Linked DNA regions of Nothobranchius furzeri. The protein of the gene in region 2 interacts with the protein of the main gene of each other region in a pairwise test. Links are inferred from orthologs where the notes say so. Each region holds a gene or a part of one and is shown on either strand. Other genes may lie near its edges.

Region 1 (4,767 bases), on a different chromosome or scaffold from region 2:
ATGTCCACTCTGAACAGCTCCTCTTGGTGTTTTAAGCGTTTCCAACAGGACAGGGATTTTTTCTCCTAATTGGAGTTGGAAGTTGATTAACATTTTTTTTCCTATCAGGTTTAAATCAAACTAAAACACAGAAAGAATCATGAAACGTTCTTTAAATAATCTTTTACGAGTTAAGGTCAAGGCGAGTGAGGATTAACGATGAAAGCAGCTCCAGCGAAGCTTTCAGGGTGGCCAGCGGCGTGCACGGACATAAGGGTATTCATTTAACACGAATGAAGCGTCTTCCTAACCGTGACCTCGGAGCCAACAAGGATGGAGCTTTGTGTGTTCTGAGTGTTTTACGAGGGCAGGAGTGAAAGGAGAGTTGTAGGGTGTGTGACCCTCGTAACGCTGCCCCCACCAGAAAATACAGCACACCTCCATGGTTTCAGAAAGATAAAGGTCAGGTGACATTCAAAAGTTTTTATATTCAGAAAAACAAATTCAACAAACATGTTCATGTCCTTTACTTCCACAACTAAAATGATGAAAATCGTCACAATCAGAGGGCTAAAACCTGAAACAAGGCACTGACGGTTAAATAAACAAACTAACAACAGCTTCTGTGTGAGCTGACAGCGCAGCGGCCGTCCTTGGTTGTTGTTTTGCTCACAGTCAGAATTCACTGAGTTTTACAGTCGGCGTCTCCTTCAGCCGCCCCCTTCAGCTTCTTCAGCTCCCTCAGGACTTCCGTCTCCAAGCTCAGGACGTCTTTGGGCTTCGCGTACTGATCCAAAATAAGAGAAAAGCATCCATCCTCACGCCTGATTCTTCACAAAGATCAGCAGAGTAAACTAAAGAAAAGCTAACTAACTAAATGTGAGTGTTAAAAACTAAAAATAACATCACCCTAATTATTTATACAGATTATGGTTTGCAGGAGCTTCTCTTATCACTTGAAAACAAACATACTTTTCCTATAGTTTGGCAGCTGATGCTGTGTAGGAGCACGTCTGAAAGGAATCACTTTAAACTCCTGCGTGTCTATCAGAAAAGTCATGTAAAGATATGAATCCTTCGTTCCTGATTTCTCAGACTTACGCTGATAATTAAAGTGTTGTTGGCGTGCGTGAAGCTGAGCGCAGACCTCTCAAGGGGCAGCTGGCTTCGATCCAGATCAGGAATGGTGAACTTCTTATAATATCTGAGGAGACAAGAGGAGAATGTTACAAGTCAATCCTGCAGCTCTGAGAATCGTGTTGTAAACAGCGCCAGCTTTAGGAAAGATGGGAGGATCGCACACAAGTGTGCTCAGAATGATCCAACAGCCAGTAGTCGATATAAATGTACTTTTTATTTGAGGTCTTGATGATGACGCATCTCTCAGGAGGCTCCACTGAAACACTGAAGACATCTCTGGGGTAGGGAAGGTTACGGACTCTCCACTGAAAGCTGGTTTTTGTGTCTTTACGCATGAAAACGGGCTGAGGAAACAAGCCAGAAGAAAAAAATCCCTTTATTTGCACACCTATGATTCTATAGTTCTATTGCAACAACAAAGTTAACAAAAATACTTACATTGGAACAATTTTCTTTAATCACATCCGAGTCCAGAGATGCAGTTACGTTAAATGGCTCTCCGACTTCCACCTGCCAGAAGCTTTGAACTCCCAGTGTGCTTTTGTGGCGCCACTTTCTTACTATTGTGCAAAAAAGTTTTTTTTTTATCATCTTAAACTAATCCAGTGCATGAACTGATGTGTGAAACTGGCACTGTGCTGTGAGAAACTACAAATATGTTGTTTACCAATGAGCTCATCTGTCTTCACATCATATTCTTCAGCCATTTCTTTTCCATCTGCAAAGAGGTAATGGATCTTTCTCTTTCCTGGAGGTGAAATTCGAACACATTTTGGAAAATCGGATTAAATAGGATGTTTGAGAAATGGAAAACTTTGGTGAAATAATATGTAAAAACACCTATAAGATGTGAAAGGTTGAATTTGTCCCAAAAGATCTATTTCTTAATATAAAAAAAGATGATGTAAATGTAGTGCATCTACAGATGACTGACGGAGTATAATGCTCACCACCTTTTACTGCACTCTTGTGATCAGCTTAGATGCTTAAATGTACTTCCAATGATGCAATGAAATCATCACTAAAGAGGCTCAGAATTTTCATCTAAGGTTCAGTGTTTGTAGGTGCAGAAGTCTGCGTGTTTAAACCTTTGCAAACAAAATTCTACATACATCAATCAATCAATAAATCAATCAATACTTTATTAATCCCAGAGGGGAATTAGAGTTTCAGTACACACAATTCAGATTTATTTATTTGCATTCTCATCAAACCATTGAAGTGAACTTGGATTACTCAGAGAGCACATACTGTAAAGGTACTGTTACAACAGATCCAACTATGTGCTAACAACACCCCTAAATGTAATCCATAAAACACTTACTTTATTCTTATAATTATAACTGTTCGCTGTTTTTGTTTGTTATTGTATCAACCGACATGTTTGAAATAAATGTAAATAATTAGCTAATCCAATGTTCAGGTTATTCAGCTAAAATGTTATTATCAAAAACAAAACAACAAGCACACAGTGAAATGTTAATTACATTATAACCTTCAATTAAAAGAAACACGGTTTTTAAAACGCACATTATATTCATGCTAGTTTAGCTGTTTGATGGATTACGCCGTTAGCTCGTTGCCTAGCAACGCTGACTAGCTTTAAAGCTAGCTACCAGATAGAGACGTAGATAAACCAGCTTGTCTGGAACATATAAATCAAACAAATCCAAGTTCGGTTGAAAATGTTATTATTTTCATTTACCGTCGTGAATCAATGCCGTTTTATTTGCTGATTTTAGAACATCGATCCAGCTTTGCTTAGCCATGATTCCAAGACGCGTTTATATAGCAACTTCCGGGACAAGCACGTAACCACAACAACCAAAGTCAACACACACAAAAGAAAATTATATAAACATATTGTTTGGACTTTTAAACTATATAATAATATGAAAACCATTAAATGTGTGTGTAAGTTAAAAAAAACGGTGACAATAAAGTTTACCAAAAACTAGCCGGACCCATTTGAACCGGAAGTGAATCATTTAAATAGAATTTCTGAGTTCCTGGTCCGCCTGAGCAGGGGTAATTGCTGATGTTTTGGCATTTAAAGTGTTTAATTGTGTGAATATGTTCTGAGGTGTCGTGTGGAATGTGTGGTTGTATAAAACGGTGTAAATACTGATTAGTTGATTTGTCCTACGTTAGCTACCTTTAGTCGTATCTAGCTGACCATACATTTTAATGTTTCCCTTTAGATAACGCGTTTTATGTTAGTGTAGCAGGATGAGGTAACAAAATATTGTCTTTAAGCACCATACTGGCATGCAGTAATGTTTTATGATGTTTTAGAAGTGAATGTATGCTGTAATAAGATTTTGCTGCAGATGTTTAGGTTGTTCCCAGTTTAGTCCACTGTTTGTTTACTTCATGCCTCAGGCCATCGGCTCCTCTCTTCTACTAACAAGATGGAGCCTCGTCACGGGATCATGAAAGCTTTCCCTAAAGTTAAAAGAGCTAAAGTGCTACAGGGAAAGGATGCGCCCGTGCTGAAGAAGAAACTTGATGAGTGTAACGTCACAGGTGATCAATCTGATTTTATGTGCATTCAAGCAACAACTTATGAAACAACTTGTTCCTTTTAAAACGTATTAAGAGAGCCAATAAGAGAAAATGAATTCTGTTATTCCTCCAAATAAATAAAGTATTCTCTTTGCTTCTTCTATTCTTATTTTTCCCTCCAGGAAACTTTTTTAACGACGTCACAGTGTACCTTCTGCCGGCGGGAATTGGAAAAGCCAGATGCCAGATCTTCCAGAGACAAATCCAACAGAATGGAGGGCAGATCCAGAGTTTCCTGAGTCCCAGTGTGACTCATGTGGTTGTGGATGACAGCATGGACTGTCACAGAGCACTTCGCTTGCTGAAAGTGGATTGTGTGCCGTCTGGTGTCCATCTGGTGAAATGCAGTTGGTTGAGTCTGTGCATCAGTGAGAAAAACCTGCTGGATGTGGAAAACTACAGACTTCTTTTACCCACAAGGTTCCTATCAGTATTTATTTATTTAACAGTTCATTTTTTCTCTAGTTTTGTTATGTGTTTTTCTTCCACTGTTAGGTGTCCTTGGGTGTCCTCAAAAAGGCTTTTAAATAATACACATTATTAATATTATGATTATTATTAGTTATCTAGTCAGGATGAATGTCTGTCTTGCAGTGATTGGGGTTTGTGGCAGTTTTCTACACTCTCAATTAGGGTTGTCACGGTATGAAAATTTAACCTCACGGTTATTGTGACCAAAATTATCACGGTTTTCGGTATTATCGCGGTATTTTTTAAACGGTGTTGCATATGTTCAGAAAGCATTGATAGTCCTGTTCTACACAAACTGAAATAGTTTTGAAAAGGTTTAACAGTGTTTATTAAACCTAAAATAACACAAAGCCTTAGCAAAAGTGCAACTTTTCACAAGTAAAGGAACAAATAGCTTCTTTTTCTGGAACATGTTACAGTAGTCAGTGCAGGTTTAAATGATACAAATCCAAACATTCAAAACATAAACAATATGTAAACAAATCAAAGAAACACCACTTGTTTTCTCATATACTTGTTTTCTTCATTATCAAAATGAAAATCTAAAACTCCAGTCCACACTTGACTTGAGCACTGTACAAGTCAACCTTAAAAAATATGTATTTAAAATAA
Region 2 (4,687 bases):
TTGAAGGTAATCAGAAGTGAGGAACAGAAAATGAAATAATTATTTTAATGTTTAGAGCAGCAGGAACTCCGAGAGACTGCAGGCACATCAGTGAGTTTGCGGCCGCTGCGCAGGGGGGGGGGGGCTGAAGCAGAAACTACCGTTGTTAAAAGAAATGTCTTTAACTTAGAAAATGTGGGCGCAATTTTAATTGTCAAAAACTCCAGCGAACCTACCGACCCCCCCCCCCGCCGCTTCAGGTATATGACGTCATCAACGACTAGTCGAAGTCGACTCGATTTTCATTACTTGACTGTCGACTTTAAAAAAAATAAAGTCATGCAACCCCTATCTCATAATTACAACTTTACCATCTCATAATAAGATAGGGAAGTTAGAAGAAAAAAAAATTATAATTTTATTATTTAATTTTAATAATGAGATAGCTATGTCATATTTATGAGATAATTTTTTATCAGAGTGGAGGGAATGGGCTTCCATAGCAATTAAAGCTTCAGCTGTGAGTTTTTTTTCCACTGGATGTGCATAAACACTACCGGGTGATGCCTCTGTTGGTTGCCATGATGAGAACAGGAGAAAGGTCACTCTCCAAGGCCCGGTTCAGGAAGGAAAAGCACTCCATGTCCAGCATATGGACCTCATCGATAAACAACACCTGGAAAAAACAACAAACAAAATGATTTGTTATGTAGTTTAAGCAGGTAGAAACCCCAAACTTCAAAAATCTGCACACACTAAAACTTACTCCGGGAATAATCTCTGCCTTGCCTTCTTCCCTCCACTCGCACACTTTGGCATTTATCTGCTCCCGGACCTCGGACTTGATCTCTCCGGTGTCTCCGGAGAAGAGAGCCAGGAAGCCCTGGGTGCGGCTGTTGATGACATCGATCTCATGGAGGGACACCGTATGTACCACCTCCTTTCTCTTCTGCAGCTCTCCCTCCGGACATTGGACAAACTGGGTCTACAAAAGACAAAACAAAGAAAATAATCCAGCAATCAGTCAACCTGCATCCTCAATCTGAATACAGTGGCATCACACCTGAGCGCCCATGGCGTCGTAGTCTCGGGCTCTGGTGAAGGAGCGACCCAACTTGCTGATTTTCCCAGTGGCTTTATCAATTGTAATAACATCTCTGTAAAAACAGAGTAAATAGATTTGTTCTAACGTCGCTCCAGCAGAGAAAAACGAGACTAGAGAGTCTTGTTGTGCGAACAGAACCTACCCAGCTTGAACCTTCTCCTTACTGAGACTGTCAATCATCTTGTTGCCCAGGTCATAGATAGTCTCCATCTCTGTCGTCTTTAGAGTCAGCTTGCCTACTTTTGCACCCTGACGGAAAGAAAATATAATTTTTATTAAACAGGACTCTTCAAAGAGAATAACATCAATGTATTTAAGCTAACAGAAAGTGGGAGACAATAAATTCTGAGACTACTAGCTAACATTAGAGAAAGTATCCCACCGTTCCGGTGGCCGGTCTATCAATCTGGATTTCCACAACCTCTCCTTCAATAATCTCCGTCTCCTCTCTGTAAATACGGAAAAAACAGTCAAAGGCAAATCATTTCATACAAAAATAATTAAATAATGCTGTATCTGTGACCGCTGTCTCACTTGATCCTCACTCCAATGGCTTTTCTAAAAGCTTGGCTCAGTGCCTCGGTCTTGCTCATTTCCAGGGAGAAGATCTCGCTACCAGCCAGAGCTGTGAAGGGCGTGTCTGAGCCGAGAGACTGTGCGATGCCTATAAGACAAGCTCATCAGGAACAGGATGCAGGAACTCTTGATTCAAAACAAAATGCAACTTGAAACATTTACATCCATGGACAGCTTCCAACTCGGCTCTCACCCATTGCAATGGCAGTCTTTCCCGTGCCAGGTTGGCCAGCGATCAGGACCGCCCTGCCAGCAATGTGGCCGTCTTTGATCATCTCCAAGATGACCCCTGCTGCCCGACGGGAAGCCAGCTGTCCAACCATCCCCTGAGAAACCTGCAGGTGAAGAGGATCAAGTCTCCTTCAGACAAAACCTCACACACATTAATGCTGGAAAATTAACTAAACCTAAAAGAACAACACTGCTCAATATTCTAAAGTGTTGGTAGATAATATAAGAGAAAATGTCTGAAGTGATGTGATGTTGAGGTTACACAGGCTATCTACTGTATTTTCAGTTTAACCAGTTCTAGCAAAGTATATGCATTAGTAGTAACCAAACAACACATTTTACAAACAGCTTTTTTCTTTTAAAAGACTTAACAGAGTTTCTTTAGAGAGCATGAACAGGAAGTCCACAGCAAATGAATCAGAGACAAGAGTACCTGTCTTGGCTCCAAAGCATCATCCAGGCCAAGGCCCCGAATGTGAGAATGGGCCCCTGAACGCAAAAAGGTGGATTTGAAGGAAAAATAAAGAGCACACACAACTAGCAGCATCATACACCCTTATGATAAATTAGCTTTTTGATTAGTTAACGGTTCAAGACGTCCACACCTACCAATTCTTTCAATCCGTGTGATATCACGAACCTCTGGAACCTTTGTAGCCGCCATCTGCATCAGGTGAAACACAACAAGAAAAACTTGTAATATTAAGTAGATTGTTTTACGTTTCTGAATAATTAAGCAATGCAACTTCTACTGACCAGTTATTTGTCTGTATCTCACATTATGACTCAAAATAAGTCAAATTATTAAAAACAATAGTTAATGTGTAAACCTGATCATACTAAAACGGTAAAGATCAGATCCAAAACTTGATTTGGCAATGAGACACACCTTTTAGTAAATAATGTACCACAATAAAACGATATTTATGTTGTTTGCTAGATCAGAAAACGTCTGAGAGGTCTGTTCTGTCCAGCTGGTTGTCATAGTGACAGTTATAACCCATGCGCTACAATACATTAGCTAGCGTAATACAAAGTTTCGATCACTTTCCAAATATTAATGTCATACGTGAAAGCAAGAAAACTTTTAACTGCCACCACATTAGTTATGTAACATACCGAAACATGTGCGGCTACATTGCCAGCGTTAAAACAGGAATAGAATAGCATTCCGTGGCTAATGTTGTGTTAGCAAACAGCTAGCTTCATTCATCGCTTTATTTAAAGCTAACATTCAAAACAAGCAGAATGGGGACGTCAAACACTCCAACATCATAAGACTTTCTTCAAATTACACAGACAACAGCAATCGGGCAGCATAAACTGTAATATGTTTGAATTTTATATTATTTTATAATAAGCGTGTTCACTCACCTGCACCACTACACTCACCGAAACGTGAGAACGAGGCGCTCCTTTCTGAAAGTGCACCGAGCAAATGCGTCCGACTAGAAACAAGTAGTTTTTTTTTCACAGGGGCACATGGGGGAGCGTTGTTACCATCGGTTGTTACTGAATTGTTTTTGACCAAGAAGACAAAACTAACGAGGTAAATACGTTTCATTACACGATTCTTATAAAGGTACATAAAATGCTAATTCAAAATTTTATAAATGTTAACTCGTTCAATGAATGTTTGTAGAACTGGGTCCGTGCATTTCGTGTTTTCGTCATTTAAATGTTCTCATTGGAAACCAGTAGAAACAAAAGAATCGCTTTTTTCTTAAATTTCAAATACAAAATAATAAGCCATTGCTAAAAAAGGATGAGCACAACTATTAAAACATATTCTATTCACATTTGAAATAGCAAAAATATTTTTAGTTACAAATTTCCAAGTTGCTTTGAGTAAAAAGTCTTCTTACCAGTGAGGGGTCCTTTAAAATCTAAAACACTATAAAAAATTATAAAGAGGTAATCCAGGTAGAAGACATTTGTGTGCTGGTGCATTTAACAAGAATGAAAGCAAAAAATAAAAATAAAGGGACATTTTCTTGTGACTTTCTTTTTTATATACTTTCAAATGGAATTGTCCTGTTGTGAATTGATGACATGACAACAATTGCAATCTACTGAGCTTTCTCTTAAAATAATCTAAACAAATAAGCAATGAGAATAAGAATGCATCAAGCACAAAACACATTAAAATACTATAATTTTGAAAATAAGTCATTTTAAACCAAGGCATTTGGAACAAATACGTGAGGGACGTTATTTCTCAAATACACACGTACCATTCAAATTATCTTGTGACTATTATGTAAGTTTAAATGTAATAAGTTTTTTATTTCAAGTTTTGAAGGGTTAATCAGATATATTTTTGTTCTATATTAAAAAGAAACACATCCACATGGCATAGGAAGGCCAACATTGTCTGATGGAAAACGCCATAATAAAGCTCTAAAAGCTTTTCTCCACCAGAGGTAGCAAAGCTCATAATTTAAAGCTGTGGAATTTTTGTTCATGTGAACTTGCAGTGATCAATGCAAAGGAATATCAATCAAAATATCTGATAAGATAAGTTGGCTGGCACTCCATCCTTAAGTTTTCTTCTGACAAGTTAGATTTCGTGTTTTTATACCTTTAGAAATGCAAAAAAAAAGGGTGTAAAGCAAAGTGTGCTCAAATCTTTCTGGAGCAGGTTTTCATCTCCTTCCTGTCATTAGAATTCCCCCCTAAAAGTGCAGCTTTCGGGATTCCACACACTTTAAATTACATAACTGACATGATTGGCTAACTGGGTATATGTTTACTTGAAAGCTTGAAATCAGAAATACTTAAATGAGTCCCACCCAT

What was found.
Region 1: the proteins of ruvbl2 (region 2) and dpcd interact in binary tests that used the Homo sapiens proteins (3 or more experiments, as listed by UniProt). The two-hybrid records come from large-scale screens. The link is inferred for Nothobranchius furzeri from reciprocal best matches to the Homo sapiens genes RUVBL2 and DPCD.

What each region holds. Positions count from the first base shown.
Region 1 is NC_091746.1:23,415,414-23,420,180, forward strand, and holds dpcd (protein DPCD), read right to left. Parts: upstream 2,961-4,767; 5' UTR 2,889-2,960; coding exon 2,825-2,888; intron 1,868-2,824; coding exon 1,787-1,867; intron 1,680-1,786; coding exon 1,558-1,679; intron 1,464-1,557; coding exon 1,330-1,463; intron 1,184-1,329; coding exon 1,081-1,183; intron 767-1,080; coding exon 662-766; 3' UTR 448-661; downstream 1-447. Other genes in the region: poll (DNA polymerase lambda), read left to right, coding at 3,531-3,645, 3,807-4,104. UniProt on the Homo sapiens protein: May play a role in the formation or function of ciliated cells.
Region 2 is NC_091750.1:65,677,919-65,682,605, reverse strand, and holds the start of ruvbl2 (ruvB-like 2), read right to left. Parts: upstream 3,338-4,687; 5' UTR 3,266-3,337; intron 2,556-3,265; coding exon 2,501-2,555; intron 2,381-2,500; coding exon 2,325-2,380; intron 1,996-2,324; coding exon 1,854-1,995; intron 1,749-1,853; coding exon 1,619-1,748; intron 1,534-1,618; coding exon 1,467-1,533; intron 1,334-1,466; coding exon 1,227-1,333; intron 1,137-1,226; coding exon 1,043-1,136; intron 965-1,042; coding exon 746-964; intron 656-745; coding exon 537-655; intron 1-536. UniProt on the Homo sapiens protein: Possesses single-stranded DNA-stimulated ATPase and ATP-dependent DNA helicase (5' to 3') activity; hexamerization is thought to be critical for ATP hydrolysis and adjacent subunits in the ring-like structure contribute to the ATPase activity.